7 linked regions of the Macaca mulatta genome follow. The protein of the gene in region 3 interacts with the protein of the main gene of each other region in a pairwise test. Links are inferred from orthologs where the notes say so. Each region holds a gene or a part of one and is shown on either strand. Other genes may lie near its edges. The genes, in order: DMD, ZBTB9, DTNB, SNTG2, CEP63, BEGAIN and SPZ1.

The links.
Region 1: the proteins of DTNB (region 3) and DMD interact in binary tests that used the Homo sapiens proteins (3 or more experiments, as listed by UniProt). The link is inferred for Macaca mulatta from reciprocal best matches to the Homo sapiens genes DTNB and DMD.
Region 2: the proteins of DTNB (region 3) and ZBTB9 interact in binary tests that used the Homo sapiens proteins (3 or more experiments, as listed by UniProt). The two-hybrid records come from large-scale screens. The link is inferred for Macaca mulatta from reciprocal best matches to the Homo sapiens genes DTNB and ZBTB9.
Region 4: the proteins of DTNB (region 3) and SNTG2 interact in binary tests that used the Homo sapiens proteins (3 or more experiments, as listed by UniProt). The link is inferred for Macaca mulatta from reciprocal best matches to the Homo sapiens genes DTNB and SNTG2.
Region 5: the proteins of DTNB (region 3) and CEP63 interact in binary tests that used the Homo sapiens proteins (3 or more experiments, as listed by UniProt). The two-hybrid records come from large-scale screens. The link is inferred for Macaca mulatta from reciprocal best matches to the Homo sapiens genes DTNB and CEP63.
Region 6: the proteins of DTNB (region 3) and BEGAIN interact in binary tests that used the Homo sapiens proteins (3 or more experiments, as listed by UniProt). The two-hybrid records come from large-scale screens. The link is inferred for Macaca mulatta from reciprocal best matches to the Homo sapiens genes DTNB and BEGAIN.
Region 7: the proteins of DTNB (region 3) and SPZ1 interact in binary tests that used the Homo sapiens proteins (3 or more experiments, as listed by UniProt). The two-hybrid records come from large-scale screens. The link is inferred for Macaca mulatta from reciprocal best matches to the Homo sapiens genes DTNB and SPZ1.

Annotation. Positions count from the first base shown.
Region 1 is NC_133426.1:32,395,888-32,399,486, forward strand, and holds part of DMD (dystrophin), read right to left. Parts: intron 2,711-3,599; coding exon 2,597-2,710; intron 1,622-2,596; coding exon 1,466-1,621; intron 1-1,465. UniProt on the Homo sapiens protein: Anchors the extracellular matrix to the cytoskeleton via F-actin. Ligand for dystroglycan.
Region 2 is NC_133409.1:148,823,447-148,827,663, forward strand, and holds the start of ZBTB9 (zinc finger and BTB domain-containing protein 9), read right to left. Parts: upstream 2,866-4,217; 5' UTR 2,666-2,865; exon of another isoform or gene 2,598-2,665; intron 2,416-2,597; 5' UTR 2,345-2,415; coding exon 920-2,344; 3' UTR 1-919. UniProt on the Homo sapiens protein: May be involved in transcriptional regulation.
Region 3 is NC_133418.1:99,327,758-99,332,058, reverse strand, and holds the start of DTNB (dystrobrevin beta), read right to left. Parts: upstream 2,867-4,301; 5' UTR 2,638-2,866; intron 1-2,637.
Region 4 is NC_133418.1:123,844,466-123,848,734, forward strand, and holds the start of SNTG2 (gamma-2-syntrophin), read right to left. Parts: upstream 2,894-4,269; 5' UTR 2,444-2,893; coding exon 2,372-2,443; intron 1-2,371. UniProt on the Homo sapiens protein: Adapter protein that binds to and probably organizes the subcellular localization of a variety of proteins. May link various receptors to the actin cytoskeleton and the dystrophin glycoprotein complex.
Region 5 is NC_133407.1:37,528,348-37,532,546, reverse strand, and holds the start of CEP63 (centrosomal protein of 63 kDa), read right to left. Parts: upstream 2,831-4,199; 5' UTR 2,793-2,830; coding exon 2,517-2,792; coding exon of another isoform or gene 2,459-2,516; intron 1-2,458. UniProt on the Homo sapiens protein: Required for normal spindle assembly.
Region 6 is NC_133412.1:173,917,060-173,921,147, forward strand, and holds the start of BEGAIN (brain-enriched guanylate kinase-associated protein), read right to left. Parts: upstream 2,887-4,088; 5' UTR 2,876-2,886; coding exon 2,447-2,875; intron 1-2,446. UniProt on the Homo sapiens protein: May sustain the structure of the postsynaptic density (PSD).
Region 7 is NC_133411.1:86,662,164-86,665,117, reverse strand, and holds SPZ1 (spermatogenic leucine zipper protein 1), read right to left. Parts: upstream 1,667-2,954; coding exon 518-1,666; downstream 1-517. UniProt on the Homo sapiens protein: Transcription factor that binds to the DNA sequence 5'-CANNTG-3'(E box) and the G-box motif. May play an important role in the regulation of cell proliferation and differentiation during spermatogenesis.

The sequences.
Region 1 (3,599 bases), on a different chromosome or scaffold from region 3:
TTTTTTCATTTTCAAATGTAGCTTTTGCCTTTTGACATTACTTCTTTTCTATTTTGAAAGTTTACTTAGCAGTAACGAGAGACTGACTGCCTCTAACACGTAAATTGAAACTCCTTATTAATTTCCAAAAAGGCACAGTAGTTCCCTTGTATCTGTGGAAGGCATTTTCATACCAAGACCTCCAGTAGATGCCTGAAACCATAGATAATACCTAACCCTATATACACTAGGTTTTTTTCTATTCATACATACAAATGATAAAATTTAATTTATAAATTAGGAATAGTAAGAGATTAACAGCTAATAAAACAGAACGCGTTATCTCTCTTTCTCTCCCTCTCAAAGTATCTTATTTTACTGTGCTCGCCAATTTTAGGATTCCAATTGACCACAAGCATTTGAAACCATGGAAAGCAAAACTGCAGATCATCAGGGACTAATGTATTGGTGACTTAAAAGTATTCATTGCTTTAGTTCAAAATTTTACCTTCTGAACACAAATTATTTGATATACATTATTTTTTAATGTATCTTACTATCCATCATTTAATATTTAACTATAAAATAGGTATCTATAAAATATTCTTCTGTAGAAAAATGAGAAACTCAAATATGAGTGTACAGTCATTTTGTGGTTTTTTTTTTTATTCAGCTATTCTTAATGGTTACTGAATCTTAATTGTTATTTAAAAATAGATGTCGGCCGGGTGTGGTGGCTCACACCTGTAACTCCAGCACTTGGGGAGGCCAAGGAAAGAGCATTGTTTCAGACTAGTAATTCAAAAGCAGCCTGGGAAACATAGCAAGACCCTGTTGCTACCAAAAAAATAACAAAAACTAGCCAGGCATCGTGGCACACGCCTGTAGTTCCAGCTACTTGTGGGGGCTGAGATGAGATAATTGCTTGAGCCCAGGAGGTTGAGGCTGCAGTGAGCCGAGTTCACACCACTGCACTCTAGCTTGGGTGACAGAGGCACAGAGGGAGACCCTGTCCCAAAAAATAAAATAAATAAATAATAAATGTATTGAAGAGGCCAAACTTGGAAATGTTAATCAAAAGTAAAAATTATTTACCCTATTTCTACATACACATATATTACCCATTCATTTTATTTTGTACCAAATATCCCTGTGAAATGTATTTTTCTTAATCTATTATTATACATTTATGTTCTGAAGAAAACGTGGATTGGAAATAATGACTACGAATAGGATTTCATTTTTCAGTATGACAGCTGTTTCAAGAAAGTCATTTTAGGACCACAATAAGATGAATGTGTACTATTTAAAATACATACTATGAAAATATTTATATATGCTAGAAAAAAGATTAATTTGTCAGAATTAATTGTGCTTTAAAGCAACAGCGTAGGAACAAAGCCTTAAACAAAAGTAATGGTGAAGGGAGACATTAGGAAATCTTAACTACATTGAGACTAGCCACAGTGAAAGACATTGTCCATACCTGTTGGCACATGTGATCCCACTGAGTGTTAAGTTCTTTCAGTTCTATCTCAAGTCTCAAAGCAAACTCTGGCTCTGCTTCATTCTTTATCTTCTGCCCACCTTCATTGACACTGTTTAGACTGGGCTGAATTGTCTGAATATCATTGACTAAAAGCTAAGAAAATGAATCAATTTAAGCCAGCTGAAAAAATTACTGCCACATATTAAATATGCAACATAGCTAGAAAATGTAAAATTAGGACTGATGGCATCGCATATGGATTTTTGTCTTTTAAAATCTGAGATACAAATATATTGATATAGACAACTGCATAACAGTCTTGCAAAAATGTTCAATGGTTATTATGGCATGAATCCAGTGGGGAATTATTTGTATTTTACTTATATCAGAAACAAAAGGAAATAAATCTAATATTTCTGGTTAGAAAAATGTGTGAAAATGGGCTTCATACTTTACTATCTTGGTTAGTATTTTCATTTTCAAACACAGGATATTGCAGATAATTGTTTACAGTGTAATGGGTGTGAAGGTGGATTTGCTTTTTTAGCTTGTATTGTAAAAAAAAATTCTTTAAAGAGCAAGATTATTTTCTTCCTGCTGCATGACAGTGGTATACTGAATATTATTTCAAAACTACATATTGTGTTATAGTACAGTGCATTATACATGAAGAGAACAACACAGTATGAATAATAATTTGTTGTAAGAAATAACAAGTAGCTCAAAGGATTCTTTACCTTTAAATTATACTGCATTTTATAGCAAAATAATGTTATCAACTGACGTTGAGTACAAGGCAATGCTTTCTCAATTCCTCACTTACTCAACCCAGGGTTTCTCAACATTGGCACTAGTGACATTTTAGATTGTGCAGTTCCTTGTTGTGGAGGGCTGTTCAATGGACTGAAAGATACTTAGCAGCATCTCTGTCCTCTACCTACTAGACACCAGTAGCATCTAACCACCACCCCCAACCCAGTTATGACAATCAAAAATGTCTACAAGCATTAAAAAAAACATCTGCTGGTGAGGGGAGGGCAAAATCCACCCCAGCTGTAAAACACTGATCTAACCAAGTAATATTCATACAAAATTATTCATATTAAAGACATCATATAAAAATCGTACTCTGCACTGTTTCAGCTGCTTTTTTAGAATCTCTGAATCCCCAAGGGCAGGCCATTCCTCCTTCAGAAAAACATCAACTTCAGCCATCCATTTCTTCAGGGTTTGTATGTGATTCTGAAACGAGACCCATTATAAGGCATTACTGGTGTGCTGATTACTTCTAATACAATTCATCATTGTGTTATGTCTAAACACAAGCCCAAAAACGATTCCCATGTTTAAAGGATGTCTCTAAGTAGCTCTTGAGGAAAAGAATATTTTTACTAAGACTGCGTTTTTATGGTCTACTGTATGAGCACTGGTGTGTGAAGTCTGCTATTGTTAAAAATAAAAAATTACTACCAAATGCGGTTTTATGATGTTACTCTCAAGAACATTAAATCATATCCCCCTCTAGAGAAATTTTAAGTTACAAAACAACTCATGAGAATACTAACAATATGCCCTTACAGTACATAAAACAAACTATGAACAATAAACTCAATGTAATGGTGTCTTCATAGCCTCCCTAAACTCGAACTTCACAAATTGTTTTCTACAGATGACAGTTTAAATAGTCCCTCCAGTTGTGAACTTTCGGACTAAGATTTTGTCATCTTAGAAGAGAGAGCTTTTGTTTTTATTTGTCTGACCAGTATGAAGTAATGATCAGGTAAAAATCATCATCTTTTATCATTTATAAATAGCCAATATCTCTCATCCATGATTCTTTGCCATATTACCTTTCTTTCTGCTGTTTCGCTACTTTTAAAAAGTATGATTGAACTCTACTGTCTACATGAGTTTTCTTCCAATTTACTTAAATGTATATTGAAAATACATGCTCCACAGAAAGTTTCCCCTTTAATATGATGATTAATAATAATTTTTAAAGCACTTATCTAAGTCAGAGAACTTCAACATGATCACCTTGCTGTTGTCTTTCAAGTCTACATTTGCTCTTTTTCCACATCTTCACTGTCCTTGCTCAGGTCTTTTTTTTTTTTTTTTTTGAGACGGAGTC
Region 2 (4,217 bases), on a different chromosome or scaffold from region 3:
GGTGGGATGGGAAAGGAAGAGGTATGGTCCTATTATGCAAGTTACTCGCCAGCCTTCAGCTTGTGCTGTCCCAAACCTGAGTCCCTCTGACCAAGGCAACTTGTTCAGAGAGCAGTGGTGCCACCCTGAGAGCACTTTAGGACAGTGCCATCTCCTGAGATCACTAGTCACATTCCAGTCATTGTGACCAATATATGAGTTACCAGTGGTGGTCAAAGGTAGACCAGAGGCACAGGCTGTTGAGGGAATACCCTCTATTAAAGAAGGTTCTAAGAATGAAACATGGAATGCTCAACTTGTTAAAGTGCTCAACTACAACATTAAAAAAGTGTTGGAAAGGTGTCTACTGGTGAGAAAGCAAGGTACAATCTGAGGGGCTCCTGGAAAGATACAATTTTAAAAGTACACAAAAGGAATTCTGCTTAAATCATTCCAGCAATGAGAGAGAAAAAAGTTTAGAGCTTAGCCTCTGAATTACTCAAGCTCTAAATCAAATGTATCCGTAGGTGGAGACCAACTCCTTTAATTCCTCATGGAGACGGAATAAAACATTTACCACTGTCTTTTGCTCTAATTCTTCTCTCACTAAATAATTGAAAATCTGGTTTCCTTAATGGACATCACCACTACAAAAATGTCCACCATGGGCAAGTGATCAACTTAAGTATGAATGGCCTATAAACTGCTTTCCTGCAGGGTTGGCTAGCCAAAACCTGGAGTGGGATGAGAAATTTGAGTTTCCACATCTGCCAGGCTGAGAGGCCCATATCTTAAAACAAGAGGTCCATAATGTATCAATGTATCTATTCTCTTGGCATGATTACAAGATCCATGACTGGTGTGCCATGGTAGTGAGGGAAAAGTACCCATCAGCAGCAGTGGTTATTTCATTCTAGAAGCTAGTATATAGCCTCAGCAGTCACTTGTAAGTCCAGTGGGCAGTGGCCCAGCCCTGGCCCTTGCACAGGTCCCGGTGGCGGAGAAAACAGGCATGGACTCGGAAACGACGGCCACAGTGGGGACAGGCATGCAGGGCTCCAGCATGGGTCTTCATGTGCTCTGTCAGATGGTGCTTCAGCTTGAAGCGCTTGTTGCAGACGCCACAGCCAAAAGGCCGAAGGCTGAAGGTCAGCATGATGTGCCGGTCACGCTTTGGCTTCACTGCAAACCGCTTCCCACACAGGCAACCAAAGCGTTTTCCATCTGCAGGGGGTGTTCCCCCTAGCTTCACAGGCCCATGAACAGCCTGGCCTGCTCCCCCAGGTCCTCCTCCCCCTGACAGGATTTCATTCCCATGAAGATCCACTGGTTTCCAGGATGGACCCCCTCCCCCAGATGTTGGCCCTGCCCCTGAAGGCAACAAGAACCCTAGCTCCCCATTCCCTTCAGTGTCCCCTCCAGAAAACACTTTGGTTTCCTCCTTTGCTCCTCCAGGCTGAGTTCCACTTCCTGATATCTCCTCCTTAGGCTCGAAGGGTTCCTGCTTAATGTAGAAGATTTTAGGGGGCAGCGCAGTAGGAGGGGCAGGAAGCTCAACTGGTGCACTCTCACCCTCTGGAAGCTTTCGGGGAGTAGCAGTCACGGGCAGTGGGTGGGGTCCATGAGGACGGGGAAAAACCCCTGATACTCTCTGGGGCTGAGGAGTCTGAGAGAGTGTGGCTGACCCCTGGTCCTCATCATCATCTTCTTCCTCCTCCTCCTCTTCTTCTTCTACCTGAATTTGCAGCACTTCTCCCAGTTCACTTCCCTCCCCTCCCACAGGGCTCTCAGTGGAAGCAGGGCTTTCAGTGGAAGCAGAGGACTGTACTGGAGTCTGGAAAGGCGAAGAGCGAATGCACCAGCCTCCTGTAGAGGATGTAGTGGAAAGAAGGGCATGGTAGGAGTTTGCTCCACGGGCTGAAATTCCACCACCTGAAGTTTCTAATTCTCTAAGAATCTCTGAGCACTGATCTACTACTTGCCACATTTGAAGGCCACTGGCCACAAGGAGATGAGCAGGAAGAGCATCCAGTGGTAGGCGGAGACGCCCTGAATAAATGAGCTGGAGCAGCCCTTCGAAGGCATCGGCTTCAATGACACTCGGCAGAGTGAGACGAGGTGCATCCCCCAGAAGCAGCTTGTCATGGAAGTAAGGAGAGGCAGCAGCCAACACTGCTTTATGAGCCCTAAGTTCCCGGCCCTGCACCAGGAGGGACACATCACAGAACTTTCCCTCTAGCCTGTGGCGGTTCAGAGATTCCAGTAGCGATGAGCTATGCTGCGGAAACTCGATCTGGATTGTCCGTGGGGCTGGGTTGCAGGTCGGGGAGGCGGGTACGGGCGGCAAAGGCGTTGGGGTTTCCATGGCCTCCTCGAAGGTGAGAAGAATTGGGAAGACGAGAGGGGCCTGGGGGTAGACTCTACGCGGGATGAAGGCTGCAAAGGAAAAAGATGGAGGTCACAGAAGCCCTGGATAAAGGGAGCCACATCTCTTCAAACAACTCCCTCCCCCCACGAGCAATAACTGGAAACTTTTAAGTCAGTGGCGGTTTCTGCAAATCAGTCCAGCACACCAAGAAAGAAAAACAAACAAACCACCACCACCACCAAACACCAACCGGGGTTGTAACTTCCAGCCCCCGTGGAAGATGCGAAGGAGGTCCTTCAGCCACGAGCCTGTCTTCACCTGCCCAGAACAGCTCCTGCCCCGCCGCTCCGTTCCGCCTCACAGTGCCCACAGAGGTCTGCTCCCGGGAAACCGCGGTCACCCGGACACCGGGAGTCCCGGCCCGGCTGTCCTTCCCGCCGACACGCCCCCGCCGTTACACACGCGGCGCTGCCCTCGCAGCTACAGTGCCGCTACAGCTCCGTCCCAGGCCGGAAGCCGCCGCCTCCCCGCCGGACGCCGTCGCAAAGTGCGGCGGGCGGAGCTAGAGGCGTAGCCAATCGAGGAAGGGCAGCCTACAAGCCTCGTGTTGACTGGCTACCGCAGACGAGGAGGGCGGTGCTAGTAGGAGGGCGCTGGCTCAGGGTGCCAGCGTATCGGGCGTCTGGGGTAGCTGCCGAAGTCCTCGCCGCTACAGAGGACCGAGAGCCAGGTCCCAGGAGAGAACAGACCGGTCGGAGGGGGCGGGCCGTCAGCCGCCCCGGAAAGCTGCGTTTCCCGGTGATTAAGTGTAGCACCCGCCCCCGGTAGGTCCTGAGAGGGGCAAGATTAGTTGGGCACTTACCATGTGGGCCTGGCACTTGCCCACATCACCTTGTGTCCTCCCACCGGCCCTGCGAGGATGGGGGTTGCCGTCCTCAGTTTCCAGGCGGGGGAAACGGGCTGGAAGCGTCACTCAGTTAATAGTAGTGGACCTGGGACTGGATCTCAGATTTGCTAAGGAACTAGGCAGGTTCTTTCCTCTGTTCTGCACAGGAGCATTTTAACCAGCAATTAAAGAAACCTTACTTCTAGGTGATTTTTAAAAGAGATAAATGTGGATATATACATGAATTCTTTTATCAGATAACGCCGCTGTTCCTGGCCTCAGACTAAGTGACACAGTGGTGAGGGGAGGGAGAGACTGGAGAAGTTTGGCCAGTGCAAAACTCCTGCTCTAAAATATAAAAACTCTCATTGGGAGGGGAGAGTGACATTTTATGAGGAGAGTGTGGCATCAGGTGGGGATGTACGGTTTTCCTCTCAGGCTGTCAGCTTCCTTTCAGAAAGCAGATCTTACCACCGTACAGGTCTGTCTGGAGAGCCCTGCCTAAGAAAGTCGGCACAGCGATAAAAGAACAATCTCCGTTTATTAAACATGTTTTTTTCTGTTTCACCACACACTCCAGAAAAAAAGGAAATGGGGCTGGGAGTGGAGAAAAGGGGACAGCGAGGGGGGGATAGATAAGGCTGGGAGTGGGGTGGGGAGGGAGAACGAGAAAACAAAATAAAACAGGTAGGAAGAGCATCTCCCTACCCTTAAGGTAGTGGGTGGGGAGGGAAGCAGAGGGGCGGGGGGGGAGGGGGCCAGGAAGCTCTGTACAGAAGGGTTGCCCCCAGCCCACACACACACACCCCGGATATGTACAGTACAAACCCCAGATAATTACAACAGCCAAAGAAGAGAGAAGGAAGGTTGGGGAGGGTCCAGGGCTAGGGCCTGAGGTGGGGAAAGGGCACAGGGATAAAATTTCACATATTTACAACTTTTATATAAGTATAAATTTGGCCCCGGCTGGGTGTATGTGTGGGG
Region 3 (4,301 bases):
TGAAATTTTGTGCCATCCCACTCTGTCCCACCTGGGATGTGAACCATTCCTTTGTCCAGCATATCCACACTGCATAAGCCACCCTCTGGTTACTCACTTGGTAGCTGTCTCAATGATCAGATTGACTGTCATGGTATCACAGTGCTTGTGTTCAAGTAACCACTGTTTTACTTAATAATAAACCCGAAGTGCAAGAGTAGTGATGCTGGCAATTGGGATATGCCACAGAGAAGCCAAACATATGCCTAACAGAAATCATTAATCTCTCATGGTACCTAATTTATAAGTTAAAACTGTATCATAGGTGCTTAAGTATAGGGGAAAAAAACAGTCTATATAGGGTTTGGAATCAGCTGTGGCTTCAGGCATCCACTGGTGCTCTTGGAACATATCCCTGAGGCTAATGGGGGGACCACTGTACACATTTTTCCAAAACTCATCCAACCACACATGGGAAATCTGTACATTTTATTGTGTCCACTATACATCAATAGGTTGGTTTTAAAATAAATATATAAACAAAATATCATCGAGCGCGCCTGGAATAAGGCACCCAATATTGTAGAACCTATGCACCTCTCAACAAGAGACCTGCTGGCTGTACACAGTCACACAGAGTATGCACTACACAACTCCAGGAGCTGCCGGGCACGGGGACTCCAATGTGAATGGTGCTCCCTAAAGCTGGGCAGTATACAATCTACACAACTAGACGCCACAGCTCTGATGCTCATATAATTCAAACAGGAGAAATAAATTTACTTATTCAAGACTTCCTATACAATGCCAGATTTTGATTATTACTCTTATTTTTCACACGAAGAAACTAAGGCCCTGGGGTAATATAAAGACAAAAAATAAAACAATAAGTTGAAATTCTCTTGGTTCTGAGTCTAATTTTCTAACCATAGGTAGAAATTTGTCTCCCGGGCATAGTGGACATCCAAAAACTGCCAGCACTACCTTGACTGCACAACCCCTTTGAAAGGCAATTCCACTTATGCATTATGATAAAAATCCTCAGAGAACTCATAAAAGGTCAAGTTTTAATTTGGCAGACAAAGTAACCCAACAGGCACTGCAACCCAGGTTACTGAAACAGCAGCCTGGAGCTCCAGAGTTCAGAGATTCAACCAAGGCAGAGGACAGGTAGGATTCTAGCCCTTACAGAAAAGCAGAGGCACCGATAGCCTCGCACTACAGGTCTAAGATCCAAGAACTAGGATGAAAATGAAAAAGTGTTTTCTAGACAACACAACCCTCTTCCTTCTCAAGTGACAGGAAAAGCCAATGGGAGAAGGAACAAAATGGGATGATCTCAAGCAACAGCCCAAGGAGCAAGCTCTTGACGGTCAACATGTAAGACACATGGGAAAGTGGTAGTATGGCCACAGAAACCAAGACCTCGCCGCCTTAGCCATTGCTTTCACGTGCCCAGACCTTAGAAACTGGGTTGCCTGGCATGGCAAAAAAAAAAAAAAAAAAAAAAAAAAAGGCAGAGAGAGAGAACTTGTGGAACAGGGGAAATCTAGCAACGTTCCCTAACACTAGAGTGACTGACACTGCTCCATGGCAAATGTGGCCAAATCTTGCTTGTCCATTCATTCATGCAATAGACATTTATGGCTCGACCGCTGTGAGACAGGCAACATTCTGAAGACTTTGCAGTGAATTGTCATGGAGCTTATTTCTGGTTGGGAAGGAAGGAAACTTCCTTTCTTTCCAAACGTCTTTTTTCCCCTCTGAGAGCCCCCTTTAAATGGTACCCGTAGGAGCCTTCGAAACTCTCCCAAATTTCTCCCATAGGCTTATTTGACCTTTCCGCTTTTTCTCCAAACCACGCAAATTATGGCTTCAATTTCCCAATACTGGGAAAAGACAAAAGAGACCTAAAGTGAATACGGCATAAAACATAAAATTGGACGCTCTTTTGTATTTTATGTGCATATCTTCACAGTCACACTGCCAGCACCTCAATAACATGAGGGTGTTTCATACTATTTCGTGGCCCCAGTGCTGACTACGGGTCTCTACCCACAGTAGCTGGAAGGTCTTTCTAATCCCAAGGCCTGGCACGGGAATTTAAGGGCAAGTATTCGTTACCGGCATCCTCCTCTCGGGACACTTTCCTGACCAGGGTGACCTCCCGGACAGGTTCGCTATTAGGCGCCTCGGGAAAAAGTGATTTGGGGTGATCTGAAATAAATATCCTTCCCTCTGCCAGGGCCTGCCCGCCTCACCTGCCCTCTGCCAGGACCTGCCTCACTCGCCCCTTCAGCACCTAATGCAGAGCCGCCTCCAGGCGAGCCGGGCTCGGGCAGCATCAGCCCGGCGCCGCGCCCCAGCTCGCGCCCGTGCCCCGGCGCGTTCCGGACCCCGAGACCCCTCCCGGCCCGGGCTCCGCAGCATCCCCTCTGCCTGTCCCTCCGCGGCCGACTGCGCTGTCCCACCTCGCAGCCCCGCGCGGTGCAGTGGCCCCGGCTCCCCGCGCCCTCCCCGCCTCCCGCGGCGCCGCACCCGCAGACTCCCGGGTCCCCAGTCCCGGCGCAGCGCGGGCTCCCGTCCCGCACCTCGCGGGCGCGAGGCTCCAGCCCGACTCTGCTCCCCGCAGCCCCGGCGGCGGCCGCAGACCCCCACCTTGCTCACTTCCCTGCAGGAGCAGGGGGCGTCGGGAAGGTCTCCTGCGGCCTCACTCCTCCTCACGCTCCGGCCCGGCCCCCTCGGCTGAGGCAGCGGCGGCGCCCACTCAGGCCCCGGAGCCGCCCCCGCGGCGAACGTTCGCAGCGCCTGGCTCGCACCGCTTCCCCGCCCGGCACGCGCAGCGCCCGCCCCCGGCGCGAGGGCGCGAGGGCGGAGGGCGGAGGGTGGAGGGGCGGGCGCGCGCCCAGCGCGAGCGCGCGACCGGGGGCGTGGCTTCCGCGCGCGAGGAGGGGGCGGGAGCGGCCGAGCACCCCTTCACCCCGCCCCCGCGGTTCCGGGCAGGCGGGAAGCTGGCTCCATCCAGGCTTCTCCCGCTCTCTGGCGCCGGGCCCGGTGCCTTTCCATCCGCTGGTATCCGCCGGCAGGGTGCCCGGCCCGACGTGACTACCGGGCAAAGAATGCAAAGAGCCACCCCGTGAATCATTCTCTGCGCCTAGGGCACAAGCCTCTGCCCGAGTGACCCGCATGAACTCCGCAAGCTCGCTCAGCCGCGGCGTTCACCCCGCGCCGCACCAGGTACCTGTGGGCGCACGATCACGGTCACAGCGCCTGGGCTCGAGGCTCCCCAAACTTAGCGGGGAAAACAGCCGTGTACACAACCAAGTCCGGTGACCTGTGCAGAGCCAAGGCACAGTGCGATGCTGTGGGAAGGCACAGAAGCTAGAGATGACTTCCGCTTGGACGCCGCAGAGGGCTTCCTGGAAGAGGCGGCATTTATGGTCAGCCTCGAAGGAAGAAAAAGAAGTCCTAAGAGGAAAAAGGGAGGACATTAGGGCTGGGAAAACAGATTGAGCAAAGGAGCCAGGGGCAGTCAGATTTACCATCAAAGCACCAGCTTTTTTGTGTTTTACTGTTACCCATCTTTTATAGAATTCTTTCCAAACTGTGTGAAATACAGGAGATGGTGCCAAATTAGGATGTAGCAAGGACTTTGTAAATGGTTCAAATGGTCATTTTTCTCAACGTTACTTAAGACTCAAAACAGCAACGTCCTTTAGGGGCTATTGGTCAATGATGAAGGCTGTAAGCTCCAGAGCTAAGCGACCCCAGGCTTGCATGCTGGGAGTATGGTTTTCACTGTTTTTTGGCACCTTATGGTAAGGCAGATCGTGCCACCTCCTGCTGCTGCCTGCCTGCCTGCCTTTAGAACACCCTCTTCCTCCTCCTCTCCTCTTTTTATTTTTAAACTCCTATGGTGAAGGAAATGCTGATAACCAACTTTGTTAAATGGGAACAAATAGGTTCCTCAAAAGATGAGCATTTTTGGCCGAGCGTCGAGGCTCACGCCCGTAATCCTAGCATTTTGGGAGGCTGAGGCGGGCAGATCACTTGAGGTCAGGGGTTCGAGACCAGCCTGGCCAACATGGCAGAACTCTGTCTCTACTAAAAAGACAAAAATTAGCCGGGCGTGGTGGTGTACACCTGTAATCCCAGCTACTTGGGAGGCTGAGGCAGGAGAATCGCTTGAACTTAGGAGGCAGAGGTTTCAGTGAGCCGAGATCGCGCCACTGTACTCCAAGCCTGGGCAAGAGAGTGAGACTCTGTCTCAAAAGAAAAAAAAAAAGATGGACATCTTACCTTTCATATATGAAGTGTGAATA
Region 4 (4,269 bases), about 25 Mb from region 3:
ATGTGCCCCTTTCAGTGGGCAAGCTCATCGTATAAACGGGCACGTTCCTAGCTCATGTCAAGGATTCTTCCCGTGCCCCAGACAGAAGTAGTGCTGTCATTTAAAAGCAGCAAATATGCTGTAAACATCAACCAATAGTAGTCTTTGAAGCTACAAGCAAGACACACTTAGCACATTGTACTGAGGGTTGTCTGTCCGTGGGATTTTATCACGGACAGACAAAATCCAGGTATGGTCAGAGACAGAGCTCCATGAACTGACTTAACTTAGAAAAAGACATCGAGAACAGGCACGAGAAAGGGGACACAAGACAGTTTTGCTACTGAACAGGAGACCTTCAAACGTGGCCAAATTCCATGATTCAGACAAGGAGTCATGATAAAGAATGTGCACGGTTTCAACTCCAGATAGAAAAAAAACATGACTAGAAAGGTAAGATTTAGAAAAGACTTTCACCTTTTTCCAGTTAAAAGCACCAAGTTCTCTTCACTGAAATGATGAAATAATTACACAAGTTGAATAATATTATGCAGTTATGGTAAGAAAATAATTCTGCGCAGTTGTCTCTGCCATTAAGCAAGGATGACATTGTATGCTAAGAACATTCAAGACAAACCTGCCAACACCAATACTTAACAGATTCGTTTTAAATAAATAAGAATCTGAGCTAACACGACCGTGTCTAATGTCTAAGGTAGGCTAAGGTGTCTAAGGTAGGCTCAGCACCTACCTAATTACTTATGACTGCAAAGTTAGGAGTCGTGGTCTTAAAACGCTTCCGTCTTATTGTAATAATTGGCTTCCAACGCTGAAAAAAAAGTTTCTTTCAACACAATTCAGATAGGCTGTTTCAAATAATCAAGGTCCTTATTACAAAGAAAGCACCAATCACATCTTGTAGCAAACAGGTGAGCAGAGGCCACCCTTGACTGGAAAACATCAAATTCAGCCCCTTAATTAACACTGAGCACAAATGAGAACATTTACTAGAATACGCGCAGTTGCTGTATTTGTTGACGTTATTGCCAATAACTCATCAAGTGGGTCAATTATGAAGTATGATGAATCCACTTCAAAGCTTCTGCTATAATTACAATGATTAAAAGCAAGACTTGCTGCAAGAATGTCTCGAGAAAAACGCACAATTCCTAACCATGGGAGGGCATCATTTTAAAGCTGAAGGCGGTGACCAGAGGGAAAGCTGTGATTCCAGAGCGCCTGCAGTTTTTACTGCAGTTTATTTCCAGGTAATCCCCGCGTACTTTCTCGGGTTTGATTACCATGGGCAACAGCGGGATGGCTATTCATGTTACAAATACGTCAAGAAATAAACACCCACATTTTACATGAAATTTAATTTTCATATTTTGTAGTAAAAGCCCAGAAAGGTACGACTTGAATGAAGATGCATCTATCTCCATAATTTTTTTTAACATCACACAGTAGCTACAACCACTGTCCTAGTTTAGAATCGTTATTATGACAATAGGAATGTGTAGCAGCCCTCAGCCTGTGGCCTTCTGAACCGTCTCTCAGCTGTCCTATTCCTGGTGGCTCCGGGGACTGGGAGCTCCTGGGGAAGGAATCCTAAAGGAGGGGTTGTCAATGCATTTTCCTGAACAGCCGCGCTCCCAGGCAGCTTCCTAGGGCTGGGGTGGCCACGTGCTCCCTTAAACTGCTTTCACAACTTGGGGCTGTGCTGTGGGTGGCAACTTGAAGGTTTCCAAGAACTTTTCGTTTTTCTTTGAACTAATACTTGTTTTCTGTCAATCAATAGTTTAGTTATTTAAAAGTAAGAAGGTAGAGAGGGAGTTATTTAGGGTAAGAACTAGAATAGACTTCAAAAAAGAAACCGTATTACCCAGTTGGCGTCCCAGCGGCTCCCCGAATGGCCAAGAGCCCCCAGCACCTGCCGAGGCCGCGCCACGCACCTGGCCAGGCTCACTCCAGCCAGCTCAGACCCGGCCTGGGCGCCAGAAGGCTGCAGGGGGGACGCTCAGGTCCGCACCACCGCCTGGACCCAAAGGAGCCGCTCCTGGGAAGGAATGTGGGGCCGATCTCAAATTCCAAATTCTGGAAAGCGTTACCTCCCACGCAGTTTAGGGAAGCCCGTGCACCCCAAAACCTAAGCCTTGCAAGACACTCGAAGAGCAAAGCCTGCAAGTTTCCAGTAAGACACCGCGCTGGAGGGAGCAGAGCGGCCAGGGGGCGGGTGCCCATTGCGTCCCGGGGCTCCGGCGTCCACCCTCCGACCAGCCGCCCGCGGAGACAGGGAAGGGGTCGCGGGGAACGAGGTGGGCGTGGAGGGAGACGGGCGCGAAGGAGAAGGAAGCGGGCCGGGGGTGCAGGGGCGCAGAGGGGCCGCACTCACCCGCGCAGGCACCAGCAGGCAGCCCGGACGTCCGCGGGGGCCGGCCGGGGGCGGGGGTCCCTCGGTGCTCATCGCTACCCCTGCGGCTGGGTCCGCGCTCCGGGCCGGCCGAGCTCAACGCTAGGACCCCGCCCTGGAGCCAGGAGCCTGGCGTCCGCGCCCCTCGGCCGGCTCCGGCTCCAGCTCAGGCTACACCGGGGCGCGGAGCTGGGGAACCCGAGCTCCGCCCGCCGCCCGGGAGCGCCGCCCACGCAGACCCGCCCCGGGTGAAGGAGGGGCCGGGCGCGCACCCGCGGGGAGGGCGGCGAGCGCGGATCCGCGGGAGTCGGGAGAGGGGCGCTCCCACGGGTCGGGAAACCGGCGCGCGACTCCGGGGAAAGTGCCAGGATGGGGGGACAGGGGCGCTCCCGCGGGGGTGGAGGGGGCACCATCGCGGGGCCGGCGGGGCAGGGGCCGGCGCACGAGGCTGGAGGCGGGGAGCGCGCGCTTCTACCCGGGCTGGGTCGCCGAGGTCCGCGGCGCGCGGCGGCGGCGGGTGGGTGGATGGGAGGGGGGCACCCCCGCTCCTTTGGGGCGCAGACGGGCGCGCTGTGGACCGGCTTGACGACCTCTCCCGGCCGCCCCACCTCCCTGGCCAAAGGTTCTCAGCTTCTCATCAGGGGCATTTCCAGTCCACAGCCTCGAGGCCCATGGGTCCTCCCGGGCCCTCTGAAGCCCCCACACCTGTGCGCGCCGGCCGCATCCTCAGACCTTTCCCCACGGCGTCTCCCCAGCCCTTGGAGAAACAGCGCAGGGCCCGAGGATGTCCTGACCAAGAGAAAAGATACAGAAGCCCCAACTTCCCCCAACCCCGCTCCCCTCCTCCTCCTCCCACCCTCCCTTCCCGCCCCCAAAGCTCGGGCCCCCCATCCCGCCTCCGGTCCGCGGAGTCTCCCGGACCCTGCGAGGACCCGGCGCTCGGCGGTGCCTTCCTGGGGCTCATGGGGCGGGGGCTGGAGCGGGGAGACCGGGTGGGGAGGGGACCCCAGATCTCAGGCGCCCGCGGAGGCGGCGGTTCCCGCTGTTCATTCAGGTTTGTGCCAAAAGGAGCCTCACAGATGCGGTATTGGGTTTGGTAGACTCAAACCGTCCCGTTTTAATGTAAATGAAAGTAAGTTTAGGATAGATTCCAGTGCGGCGGGGGAGTGAGGGGGCATACAAGGCTACCCACTTTTTTTTTTTTTTTTTTTTTTTTTTTTTTTTTTTTTTAAGACGGAGTCTCGCTCTGTCGCCCGGGCTGGAGTGCAGTGGCCGGACCTCAGCTCACTGCAAGCTCCGCCTCCCGGGTTCACGCCATTCTCCTGCCTCAGCCTCCCGAGTAGCTGGGACCACAGGTGCCGCCACCTCGCCCGGCTATTTTTTGTATTTCTTAGTAGAGACGGGGTTTCACCGTATTAGCCAGGATGGTCTCGATCTCCTGACCTCGTGATCCGCCCGTCTCGGCCTCCCAAAGTGCTGGGATTACAGGCGTGAGCCAAGGGCTACCCACTTTTTAAAAAATGTGGATATTTTCCTCCCTTTCCAAATCCTCCGGCCCAGGAACGAGCGCGCATCGCCGAGGCCGGGACGCCGATTTCATTCCCGCTCCACGGCGAGGAAAAGCAGCGAAATCGGAGGTCTTCAGAGGTTAACCCTATCTAGGAACAGAATGTGACGCATTGTAAACAAATAAATATTGAAAAATCGATGTTAAACACTTTACTTTTTCTGACTCCGACTTGCTTGACCGCTGAGCTGACCTGGGTTTCGAACACAGACGCCTTCCCCATTTCTCTGTTCTCTGTATTCCTGTTGAGCCTGCAGGGCAGTCGGCCAGCACTTCTTAGCACTCGGTTTACCAGAGGACGAGCTCTTGAATC
Region 5 (4,199 bases), on a different chromosome or scaffold from region 3:
TTAGTACATACGGGGTTTCGTCATGTTGGTCAGGCTTGTCTCGAAACTCCTGACCCCGTGATCTGCCCGCCTCGGCTTCCCAAAGTGCTGGGATTACAGGCATGAGCCACCGCGCCCAGCCTAGGAACTGAATTTTTAATTTTATTTCACTTTAATTACCCACAGCTGGCTGGTGGCTACAATACTGGACAGTGCAATTCTACATCTAACTACTGGTTTAGAGCAGTGGTCCCCAGCCTTTTTGGCACCAGGGACCTGTTTCACGGAAGAAAATTTTTCAACACGGACAGGGTGGAAATAAAAAATTTTGTAAATATCTTTTTGTTAACATTCATATGAAATGTTTTGGGGGAGGAATGGCCAAACCACTTTTTATTTATTTATTTATTTTCTTTTTTTTGAGATCCAGTCTCACACTGTAGCCTGGTCTGGAGAGCAACGGTGTGATCTCAGCTCACTGCAACCTTCGCCTCCCGGATTCACGTGATTCTCCTGCCTCAGCCTCCCGAGTAGCTGGAATTACAGGCGCACACCACCACACCCGGCTAACTTTTTTGCATTTTTAGTAGAGACGGTGTTTCACTATGTTGGCCAGACTGGTCTCGAACTCCTGACCTCGTGATCCGCCCACGTCAGCCTCCCAAAGTGCTGGGATTACAGGCGTGAGCCACCGCACCCGGCCAACCACTTCTTCAGTAATATGAATAATACACATGGCAAGGGTTAGGGGCATGGTTTCATGATGAAACTGTTCCACCTCAGATCATGAGTCATTAGTCAGATTCTCATAAGCATGCAACCTAGATCCCTTGCATGCGCAGTTCACATTAGGGTTCATGCTCCTAGGAGAATCTAACCCCACAGCTGATCTGACAGGAGGCAGAGCTCAGTTGGTAGGTAATGCTCACTCGCCTGTCACTCACCTCCTGCTCTGTAACCTGGTTCCTAACAGGCCACGGACTGGTAGTGCTCTGCAGCCCCGGGTTTGGGGGCCCCTGGTTTAGAAGCCATAAAGGCAACAGAGATACCTGTTAAAGGATACTGTGCAATGTAATCTGCTAAATTTAGAACTGTAAGGAAAAATAGGGGCTAATCCCATAGCTATAGCTATGAGGGAACTGCTATAGATTAAAAGATGTCAAATATGCATCACCCAAACACAACAGGCAGATCCCTGTGGGATTTTGGTTCAAACAAGCTAACTGCAAAAAAGACATTTAAGAGAGAGTTGAAGAAATCGTAATCTGACTGGACATTGACATTAGAGAATTTTTATTAATTTGTGTATGTGTAATGACAGTAGTGTGGCTTTGCAAAACTGAAAAACCTAGCTCCTGACGGGGGCGGGCAGGGGACTAAAATAACATAAAGATCGGAAATTCAGTTCCTGAAACCTTGTGTCAATGTTGGCTTTAGCTGAATTCCAAATCAAGTTGACATTTTTTGAAAGCAGGAAGCAATGACAGAGTGGACTACTGATGCTGTCACCATCTGCCAGCACAACGTAAATTAGAACAGAAAGGACTAAGCAAAGGCATTCCACCTTTTAAAGAGAGAAAATGGCATCAGTACAATCAACATATACAATTTTTACAAACAACTTTTAGAGTTGCATCTACATACATTTTAAAAGGCAGTGTGCCTGTTTATAAATCTCTACCCCATTTTAGTTTCAGAGCCTTTTTTACTACCCTGATCACTGATCATGCCACAGTCAAAAGGCAATCTCAAAAATTAATCTAAAAATAGTACTGCATTCCAAATAAGAAAATATATATACTTTGTTTTACTATTAAGCTACAGCTAACAGAAATCTAATCAACGATCCTTATGATTTTCTCTTACCTAAAAAATAAACGCAAGCACGTGAGGAACTGTATAAATACAGAGCATCTACCCTACAATACTGCTTTATAAAAGAATAAATTCTTTTAATAAGTTTAACCGGACATAAAGCTCAGGGAAAACTACTTTGTGCATATTAGTGTACGGTGCTTAAACTATACAAGATGACTAGTCTCTGACATCATACACATCTTTACTCTCCTGATGTCGTATACGACATAAAAAAAACCACATTATAAGCCTAAATGTACTGTCTTCAAGTATCTCCATGATTAAAGTGTTCCTAAGAAACCGTCCTTGTTTCTTTCTATCCCTGATCTGTGTGCATGGAGCAGTTAGTTCAGGGTTCTCCAATTTCAGTCCACGATTTCTGCCATATTTCCGTACCTGCTGTACTAAACATAACCGTTTACACCAACTCACTATTTTAAAAGCTGCCAACCTTAACATGCCACCCTAAATGAGCGGGTCCCCTTGTGCCGTGAATGAAGTAGTCCTAACAGCGCTAGCTAAACAGCAGCCCTGGCCGGGAGGCCGCACAGGGGTCCCTCCGCTGAAAAGAAAGGTGGGTCCGCCGGGAAAGGTGAGTACTGGGCGCAGCTCGCCCGCCCACCTGGCTACTCTCCGAAGCGCCCCCAGCCACCCGGCCTCCGAGGAAACGCTGTGACCACCTGGCGGGGCCGAACCGCGCGCCGGGCTGCGCCATGCCGGACTACGCCGGTGTGCAGGGCATAGCGGGCCAGGCCGAGGGACGGGGCTCCGGGGCGGACGCGAGCCGGCGGGGAGGCGCCTGGTGGTTCGCAGACTGTTGCGCGAACCGGCCGCAAGCCATGAGGCCGCGAAGCCAGAGTCACCAAGGCAGCCTGGGCCGCCTCCGGACCAGGACGCGCTCGCCCCTTGCGCTTCCGTCTTGCGCACGGGCGGTTACACGGCTGCAGCAAGCGCATCCCTCAGCCTTCCCGCCGTTACCTCGGGCGTGCACTGCGCACGCGCGCCACCACTAAGCTTACGTCCAGCCTCAGCAGTCGGAGCGTTCGTTCCGCCCACTGCCCCCACACTTTTAATAATTGAATCAATGTCTTCTCCAGACTTCCCCTGCACGCGAGCAAATGGACTCACCCACATCCGGGAATCCGAGAAAGAGCGTGCAGACACGTGATGCGGGGCGTGGCAGGAGGAAGCGTCTGCCGCGCTGGGCCGCGTAACGGTAAGGGTTTGCAGCGCCCCCGGCCTAGGTTTTGGAGGCGCGGGAATGCGTTCGTGGCTCAGTGTCGGACTTCCCCCTATTTCCATCGGCCGAGGCTGTCACTTTACGCTCATAACCGTTTTCTTTACTGCACGCTGTGTCGGGAGGAAAGGGACTTGCTTGGCACCCCAGACCTCCCCGTCTCCGCTTCCACGTTTGGTACATCCTGCGTCAGGCCGGAAGCCGCGGCTGAGGGGCGGCCTCTCGTACAGTGTGGTGGCCTGCGAGGCTCATTTCTAGCAAGGAACAATATTTTCCCGCTTTGACCTTACAGATACATGTTTACAAAGCTATAATGTATAGAAATGGATAAGACATGTCCCTGTCCCGGGAAACGCAGGCACTGCGTGTCTGGAAAGACATACATCTGGGCTGTTTGACAGGCTACCTAGTTGGTGCCATGCTCTGTGCTTAGGGAACTATGAGATCCCCGGTGGGTACTGGGACCGCGCTCAGCCTGAGGTTTGGAGGCGGCCTCCTACAGGAAGCGACTTGAGACCTGAGATTTTTAGACTGACTATGGGTTCGCTGGAATAAAAAGGAAGAAACAAACAGCATTGCAGGCATCGGGACTGTCACGTGTAAGAAAAGTTTGTTCAGGAAACAGTGGTCGTATTGTGTGACGAGTATTTGGGACGGTGGCTGTGCCTTGGGCATTGATTAGATTATCTTGTTGCTTTCCATCCTTCCAGCCCCTTAAGAGTGAAGGCACCTTCACGCCTAACCCCGGAAATGGGATGTTGACCTCCAAGAGCTGACGCCTGCGTTGATCTTGAAAGGAAGAGTGGCATTAGTGATGTGGAAAGGGGGGTTTTAACTGTCAAGGCTGGAAAATGTGACAGGGTTTGAGGTGTTTGGAGAAGGGACAGGTGAAAAAGATTGAGGCCAAATTGTAGAAAGATCTACTAAGGAATCCTGGGTACAAAATGTACACATAACAGTTGGAGACAATAATACCTGAGCAATTGATCACAAAGCTTGTTTAGTAGATTTAAGTTAGGACAAGAAGCAAGAGTTCAAGGATAGAAGGCCTACTGAAGCTCGAGTGATCTGAGAAAACCTTACTAAAAGGTGGAAAACCTATGTGGGCCTGGGAAAGTCAGGTTTG
Region 6 (4,088 bases), on a different chromosome or scaffold from region 3:
ATTGGGGGTGTTATCACGACCCCACCCAGGGCTCTGCCCCTGGCCCTGTGCTTCCTGCTCCGTCTTGACTTTTGTTCTCAGATAAACACTGGATTGAGTCATTCACACTAGTATAAATGAGGCTCAGTCCCAAGTCTGTGATAACCGGAGGTCCCAGAGACCTTCTACAGCTGCCTCTTGTTTGTTGACCAACGAAGAGGAGGACCAGAGACTCACCCACGGCCACTCAGCCAGGCAGGACAGCACAGGACAGGAATGAAACCCAGGGCTCTCCTGGGGCAGCAGCTTCCTCCCAGAACTGGTTCATGGTGGAGCCCCAGGCTCGGTCTCTCAACAAAGGGTCTGCAGGCTGGTGACTGGAAGCCCGGGATCTGCCTTGCTTCCCCAGAGCTACCCCTCCAGAAAGCATTCTGGGGATAGAGGCTTGTCCAGGCCAGGAAGGTACAGGGCACACAGTGGGTACTCAAATCAACAGACAAGCCCCTGTGAAGGGCTGGCATCACTATCTTTATCACCACTATCATCCCGGCGGCTGAATCCCTACCTTGTGCCAGGGCCCTTCCTCAGTTATCTCTAATGTCCCCATGGAGACACTGGGGGGAGTGTGACTTCAGCCAGGGCACAGCCCAACCAGGACTCTGCTGGACTCAGCTTTCCGGGCCTCAGTGCCTGCTTTATGGAACGAGCCTGACCCTAGGATCCCTTTCACAGGCTTGCTGTATTTGATTTGAGGCTGGAGCTGGAGGGTTCAGAGTTGGCGCCCATCATGAGATACGATCCTGGGGGACTGGTGGGAGAAGGTGGGGTGTAGCAGGAGTTAGGCCTGGCGACCGGGGCCTCCGAGGCCAGGTATGGTCCAGCCCCTCCTGCTGAGGCTGATGCCACCTCTCGCTTCAAGCAGTCAAGCTGGGCTCCTGGGTGGGGCCACCCTGGCCAGGCCCCAGGGTGCAGCCTCGCCCCTTGAACATACTGTTGGGCCCCAGCAGGCCCTGAGGCCCCGAGAGATATGTGCAAGAAGCCCTGGGATGGAATCTTCCAGGGCCCAGGCGGCACCAGGACTCCCCTGGGGCTCAGCAGTCCCCAGAGGGCGGTCTGCATGGTAAGCGGAGCCAAGAGCAGCAGAGAAGCGGGGCTCCCAGCTCACCACCCCCTGGAGGAGCAGATGGGGACACAATGCTTATTAGGTGCCTGTGACCATGACTGACTTTTCACTGCTGGGGAAACTGAGGCACAATGAGGCTGGGTGACCTGTCCAGAGTCACACAGAAGGCCACTGACCCTCGAGATGCGCTTCCACCCAGAGCTGCCTGGCCCCAGCTGGCCATGCAGACCTACGGGGAAAGGGCTGGCAGGGCTTCAAATCACCAGAACTTCCCACCCACCGGCCTGTCCCTGGCCATCCCTGGACAGAGCAGTTGACCTGAGGGCCAGCAGCACACAGGTGGCAGAGGTGCAGAGGTGGAGGGCAAAGTGCCTGGGCCCAATCCGGCTCCTCCACCTCCCTCTTCCTCTGTGCACTGGGGACATAATGATGGCGCTGACCTCCTGGAGTTGCGCCCAAGCTGGGGGTCAGAAGCTGAGAACACTAGTCAACGCTCCGTGAGTATCAGTCATCGCACTCAGCCGGGGTTTGTCCCCAGAACAGAACCCCTCCCAGCAGAAAAGCCTTCCTGGGAGGCTACAGGTTGATATCCCACAAACCCAGCCCACCGCCTCTGCCTCCATCCCGTGTTGGGAGAAGGTGGAACTGGGGCACGAGCAACATCCAGGCAGCCCAGGGGTCCTCCCTGGCCCACGGGACACAGACGGTGCAGGGCATGGAAGGTCAGCACCAAGGTGGGGGTGCCAGTCCCTGAGTGAGGTCCCACCTGCCCAATGCTCTGCACAGCTCCGTCCCCAGGACAGCTAAGGAAATCTCACCACATCTTTTGTCTGTCTGTCTGAGGTCAGAGTGCATGTGTGGACGGGGTACGATGAAAGAGCTCTACAGCCCAAGCCAGGACTCCCTGTGTCACCTGGGGCAAGTGGCAGCCCCTCACAACCTCAGTTTCCAACTCCATGTAATGGGGGCAGCTATGAAAGCTCACCTCCCTGCCTGACAAGCCTGTGGGACAGCCTGCCTCATGTGGGGTTGTCTCAGGCTCAAAACTGTAAAAGGATAATCACAGGAAAGCCCGAGGTAAACCACCAAGGCTTTGCCACAGTGGGGAGAGGATTATGATAATTGTTATCATTACTGTTCACGCATGTGCATTCCATACAGAAATAGTCTGCCTGCCCCAAAGTCAGAAATTTCACCTTAGAGATTCATTCCTTTGGCAATTAAGGCCTTTCCTATTACAGATATTATAAAAGGGGTGTGGGGAGGGAACTTGGAGCAGGTCAGACAGGAACTGTGGGGAAACGGCACATGAGGAGGGAAGAGACCTCTGGGGTTGAGACTCACCCGACCTGGAGGCCTCCAAGGGGAGGCAGCTCGGCCTCCGCGCTTGCCACTGCCCAAGCAAGGCCCACTAGTTCCCACGGCCTGGCCTGGCCCCACTCTGCTTGCAGCCTCAGCGGCCGCCTCCGAAGAAGGCTGGGAGCTCAGGGCCGGGTCCTTCTCCCCTGGGGCTGCAGCTCCTGCAAGGGCCTCCTGGGCCAGGCCTTGGCCTCGATCCACTGCGGAGGGCTCTGGGCTGCGGCCTCTGGGTACCCTGAAGGCCTCCAGGGTCCCAGGGTCCAGAACCCGCACAGTGACCTCATCCAGGAACCTGGAGAAGGGCAGTCTGGCCTCCCGCCGGCGGCCCAGGCGTGCGAGGGAGCCTGTGACAGCCCGGCTGCCTGTGTTCAGGGACTCTGGGGAGGACGGCCGGACTGGCGACACCCGGGCCATCTCCTGGCTGGGCCGAGCTGCCCAGCTGGGGCAAGATGATTTGCCCTCAGGATTCCGACCTTGGCTGGGGCTTGGCATGTGGCTTCGAAGGTCCTGTCTGTGGGCTTCCTTGATGGCGGCTGCTGCCCTGGGCTCCAGGAGGGAGCTGTAGCTGCCCTGCTTGGGACAGGCAGGGTTAGAGCCCCGTACCTGGGAGCTGGCCCCTGAGAACATCCTCCTGAGTCAGTCCAAGGTCTGGGCTCCCCAAGAGCGCCGTGACCCACTCCTCTCCTCCCATGGGGCTGGGATCCCTGTGCCCTCTTAGGGGCTGTGCCTCCCGTCCTCACAGACCAGGGCAACCAGCCAGATGCCCGCCTGCCCATTGATCCAGTGGCAGGGCCTCACGGCCTCCCACCCCCAAATCGATTCTCACTAAATGGAAGCTGAGCTTCAGGGCTTAGAAAGTGCTAGAGAGGAGAAGGTCATGTCCTGGGCTCTGCCTGGGGAGGTAGCCCGCCCTGAGTGAGCTCCTGTGGTACACAGGACCCTGGACTGGGCCTCCCCCTCTCCTACTCTGACATCTCCTCTGCCAGGTGCAGTCCAGGGTGCAGGGGCACAGAGGACAGGCAGTGGACAGATGGCCACGATGGTCACCATGACAGCGTGAGCACTGGGCCTGAAGCAGGGCAAACTGGAACTGCAGCAAACCAGCAAATGGGAGGGGTCGGCAGAGGCCGCGGGCAGCCCACTGTCCTCCCGTGCATCCTTATTACAGAGCCTTCATTCTCTTTTGAGATACAGGGTAGTTAGCTAAAAGACCATCTTTCCTGGGCTCCTATGCAGCCAGGCCAGGAGGTCGCCAATGAACTATAAACAGAAGTTGGGTGTGACTGCTGGCAGAGCTCTGCGAAAAAGATCAGACAGACAACCTGTGTCCTTTTCCCATTCCCCATCCTCCTGCTGCTTCTCTAGAACATGGAAGTGATGGCTGGAGCTGTGGCAGACATTTTGCACCATGAGACAAACTTGTGGCAGAAGCCATGTATAAAAGATGGAGGAGCAGAAAGACAAAAGGAATCTGGATCTCCCATGACCACTGAATCATCACACCAGCCCTGCATCACCTGCCTCTGGTACTGTTTTTTTTTTTTTTTTGAGACGGAGTTTCATTCTTGTTGCTCAGGCTGGAGTACAATGGCTTGATCTCAGCTCACTGCAACTTCTGCCTCCCAGA
Region 7 (2,954 bases), on a different chromosome or scaffold from region 3:
TTTTTTTTTAGAGATGGGATCTTGCTGTGTTGGTCAGGTTTATCTCAAACTCCTGGCCTTGAGCAATCCTCCTACCTTGGCCTCCCAAAATACCACTGCACCTGGCCAAAAACACTATACACTTTTTTCCCCCAGAACTCCCCCTGCTCCCAGGCAATGATTAAATAAAGAAAAAAAAATGTTCCCTTGTATTCTGGTTTTAATGTAGATCTTTACTTAATTGGACCTGTAACTTCTCACTCTAGGCTGTCTATCTAATAATTACAAAAAAAAAAACAAGCAGATTGTAAAGGTGAAAAGTTATGAACCTGATGTAGACACAATGGTCATCAAAGACCGGACTTACATAACTGCTGAGGTAATGAGTAATGTAAGTGTTAATCTTCTTATTCTATAACTTTTTCTTGGTTGAATCAGCAGATCTGCCCAAGGTCTGATGATTGATCATGCCTGACAAGCTGGATGTATCAGATGTAGTTTTTTAAGGATTCACCTTTTCGTCTGCTTTTGGTATTTTCTATCTTAGGCTGCTAGCTGACCTCATTTTTCCCCTAAGAGCTTTTCTTGCAACATGAATATTGAACTGGTTATTGCAAGCTTTCTTATTAAGACAAACATCCAGGCTTCTACAGGATCTGTCTTTTTTACGAAATGTACCCTTCATTTCTTGCTTGTTCTGCTTATACATTTCTACTTTCTTTGCTTCTGATGGCTTCTGATTTTTCTTGTCCTGTTTACAGTTTATCTGAATTGGCTTCTCTTGCAGAGTTCCCTGTTTCTGATGATGGAGTTCCTTGAGAATCTCTACTCTCTGCTGTAAGATTTGGCATTCATTCTCTAGCAAAGCTGCCATCAACTGCAATGAATAGGTGTCATGGCTTAGTTTCTTCACCTGCTCCTCCAGCTCATGCTTAGCTGACACTTCATTATTTGGCTGGGTTTGGAAATCGACTCCATTATTTCTGAGAGTTTCACTTACGTCTTTCTGAGATTTCTGATAGGATTTTATCAGTTCACTGAGCTCAGTATGTTGTTTACTCCAGTGTTCTGCTTCCTGTAGTAATTGCTCCATGTTGTTCCTAATTTTCATAGTTTCTTCTTGAACATTAAGGAGCCTGTTTTTCGCTTTTTCCTGACTTTGTTGAGTTTCGTTGACTTTTTTTTCTTCTAAACGATTTACCAAATCTCTTGCAAAAACTTGTACTATGTTCTCAGAGTCCTGGTTTTCCAATATCATCTCCTGTTTATGTTCATTCTCTTCTTTCTCTGGGGCTAAATTAACAGGCAGGTTTGTTGATAACATTTCATTGATTTTGTCAAGTCCTCTGATATTTTCTTTGTGGGCTGACACATCCTCAGAAATATTGGTTTCCTCAAAAAGTTCTTTTGCTTCTGTGATCTTCTCTTCAAAACCTGCCATATTTTTAAGAATATCTTTAATTTCTTTCAAGAGACTGTTAAACTTCTCTGCAGTCTGTTGTTCTGTAACTTGATGGCTGCTATTCTTTAGGGAAGGGAGAGAGCCCCAGGAGGAAGGGGAAAGTGATCCAATTTCGAATAAGGCAATGGTAATCCTAGGGTCCAGAGATTCTTGATGAGGATCAGGAGTAGGGTTAAGGGTTTTGGAGATGGTGGGCATCTCAGCTGACTTCGCAGAGTTGGCCATTGGGACAGAAGGAAAGCAGAAAACCTTAGAGATTCCAGGATGGACAGGTGATGTTCCTTCGTGCAAATGTGGCTGGAGATCAAGCAGAAGTCAGGGACCAAAGTTAAGGATTAAAATTGGGGAGCTGATGTTTAGGTGGAAGGTGGCATCTCAGACAGCCTTGTGGGGAGGAAGGGTGGGAAAGGGGACCAGGGCTGGGGCTCCATCTCTTCTCCTCTAGGCACCCGGTGTTTATTCTCTGGCCCTAGCAACCAGGTCTTTATTTTGTCACTGCACCATTGTGGCCTATCCGTAGCGTCACAATGGAAGTCTCTTAAATTCCTGCCCAGTGACTCCTGCATCAAAATCCACCTTGAGCTACCCCTACTCCTCATGCCAGAAAGAGCTCATCAACAGCTCTTCCCCTCAATTTCTAGGTTGCTATTCATCTCAGTCTAAATGCACTCAGTTACTTCCCTACCTCACCTCTATCCCCTCACAATCCTGACCTCAACCGCAGCATGTTTTGACCACTTAAGGGCATTGCTGAGACCAGTCCTCTCTGGTGAGGTACCCATCCTTTCATGGCACCCACAGGCTTTATTGCTCCCATCCTAGGAGAGATGTGACTGTAAGAGAAAGTTATCCACACAAAACAAAACCCTGAGAGTGAGAGCCTTTTGTGATTTTAGGAAAGTAATGTCAGGAGTCCCTCCATTCAAAAATATTCTACTGCTGCAAGAAGGGACTATCTGAATGGTTATTTATAATAGCAACACAATTACAAACTGGGACTTTTCTTGGCTTTCAATATAGGCATCCTTTAAGACAGGCTTGGCAAGCTTACTCGCAAATCATTTACATCAGGTGATAGAAAACTTTGACCATTACTTTTCACAGTAACTTATTTGGGGATTTTTTTTTTTTTGGCTCTTTTATTGATCCTCTAAGATTTCTACACTCTACACAGTAACTTGTTAAAATGACACAATTATGTTTCTAAAGTGTTTGATTAGCAGGGCATGGTAGTGTCTGCCTGTGGTCCCAGCTACTTGGGAGGCTGAGGCGAGAGGATCACTTGAGCCTGGGAGGCTGAGGCTGCAGTGAGCCATGACTATGCTACTTATTGCACTCCAGCTTGGGCAACACAGCAAGATCCTATCTCAAAAAATTAAAAAATTGGCCAGGTGCAGTTGACTCATGCCTGTAATCCCAGCACTTTGGGAGGCTAAGGCAGGCAGACCACTTGAGGCTGGGAGTTCAGGATCAGCCTGGGCAACATGACCAAACCCCATCTCTACTAAAAATG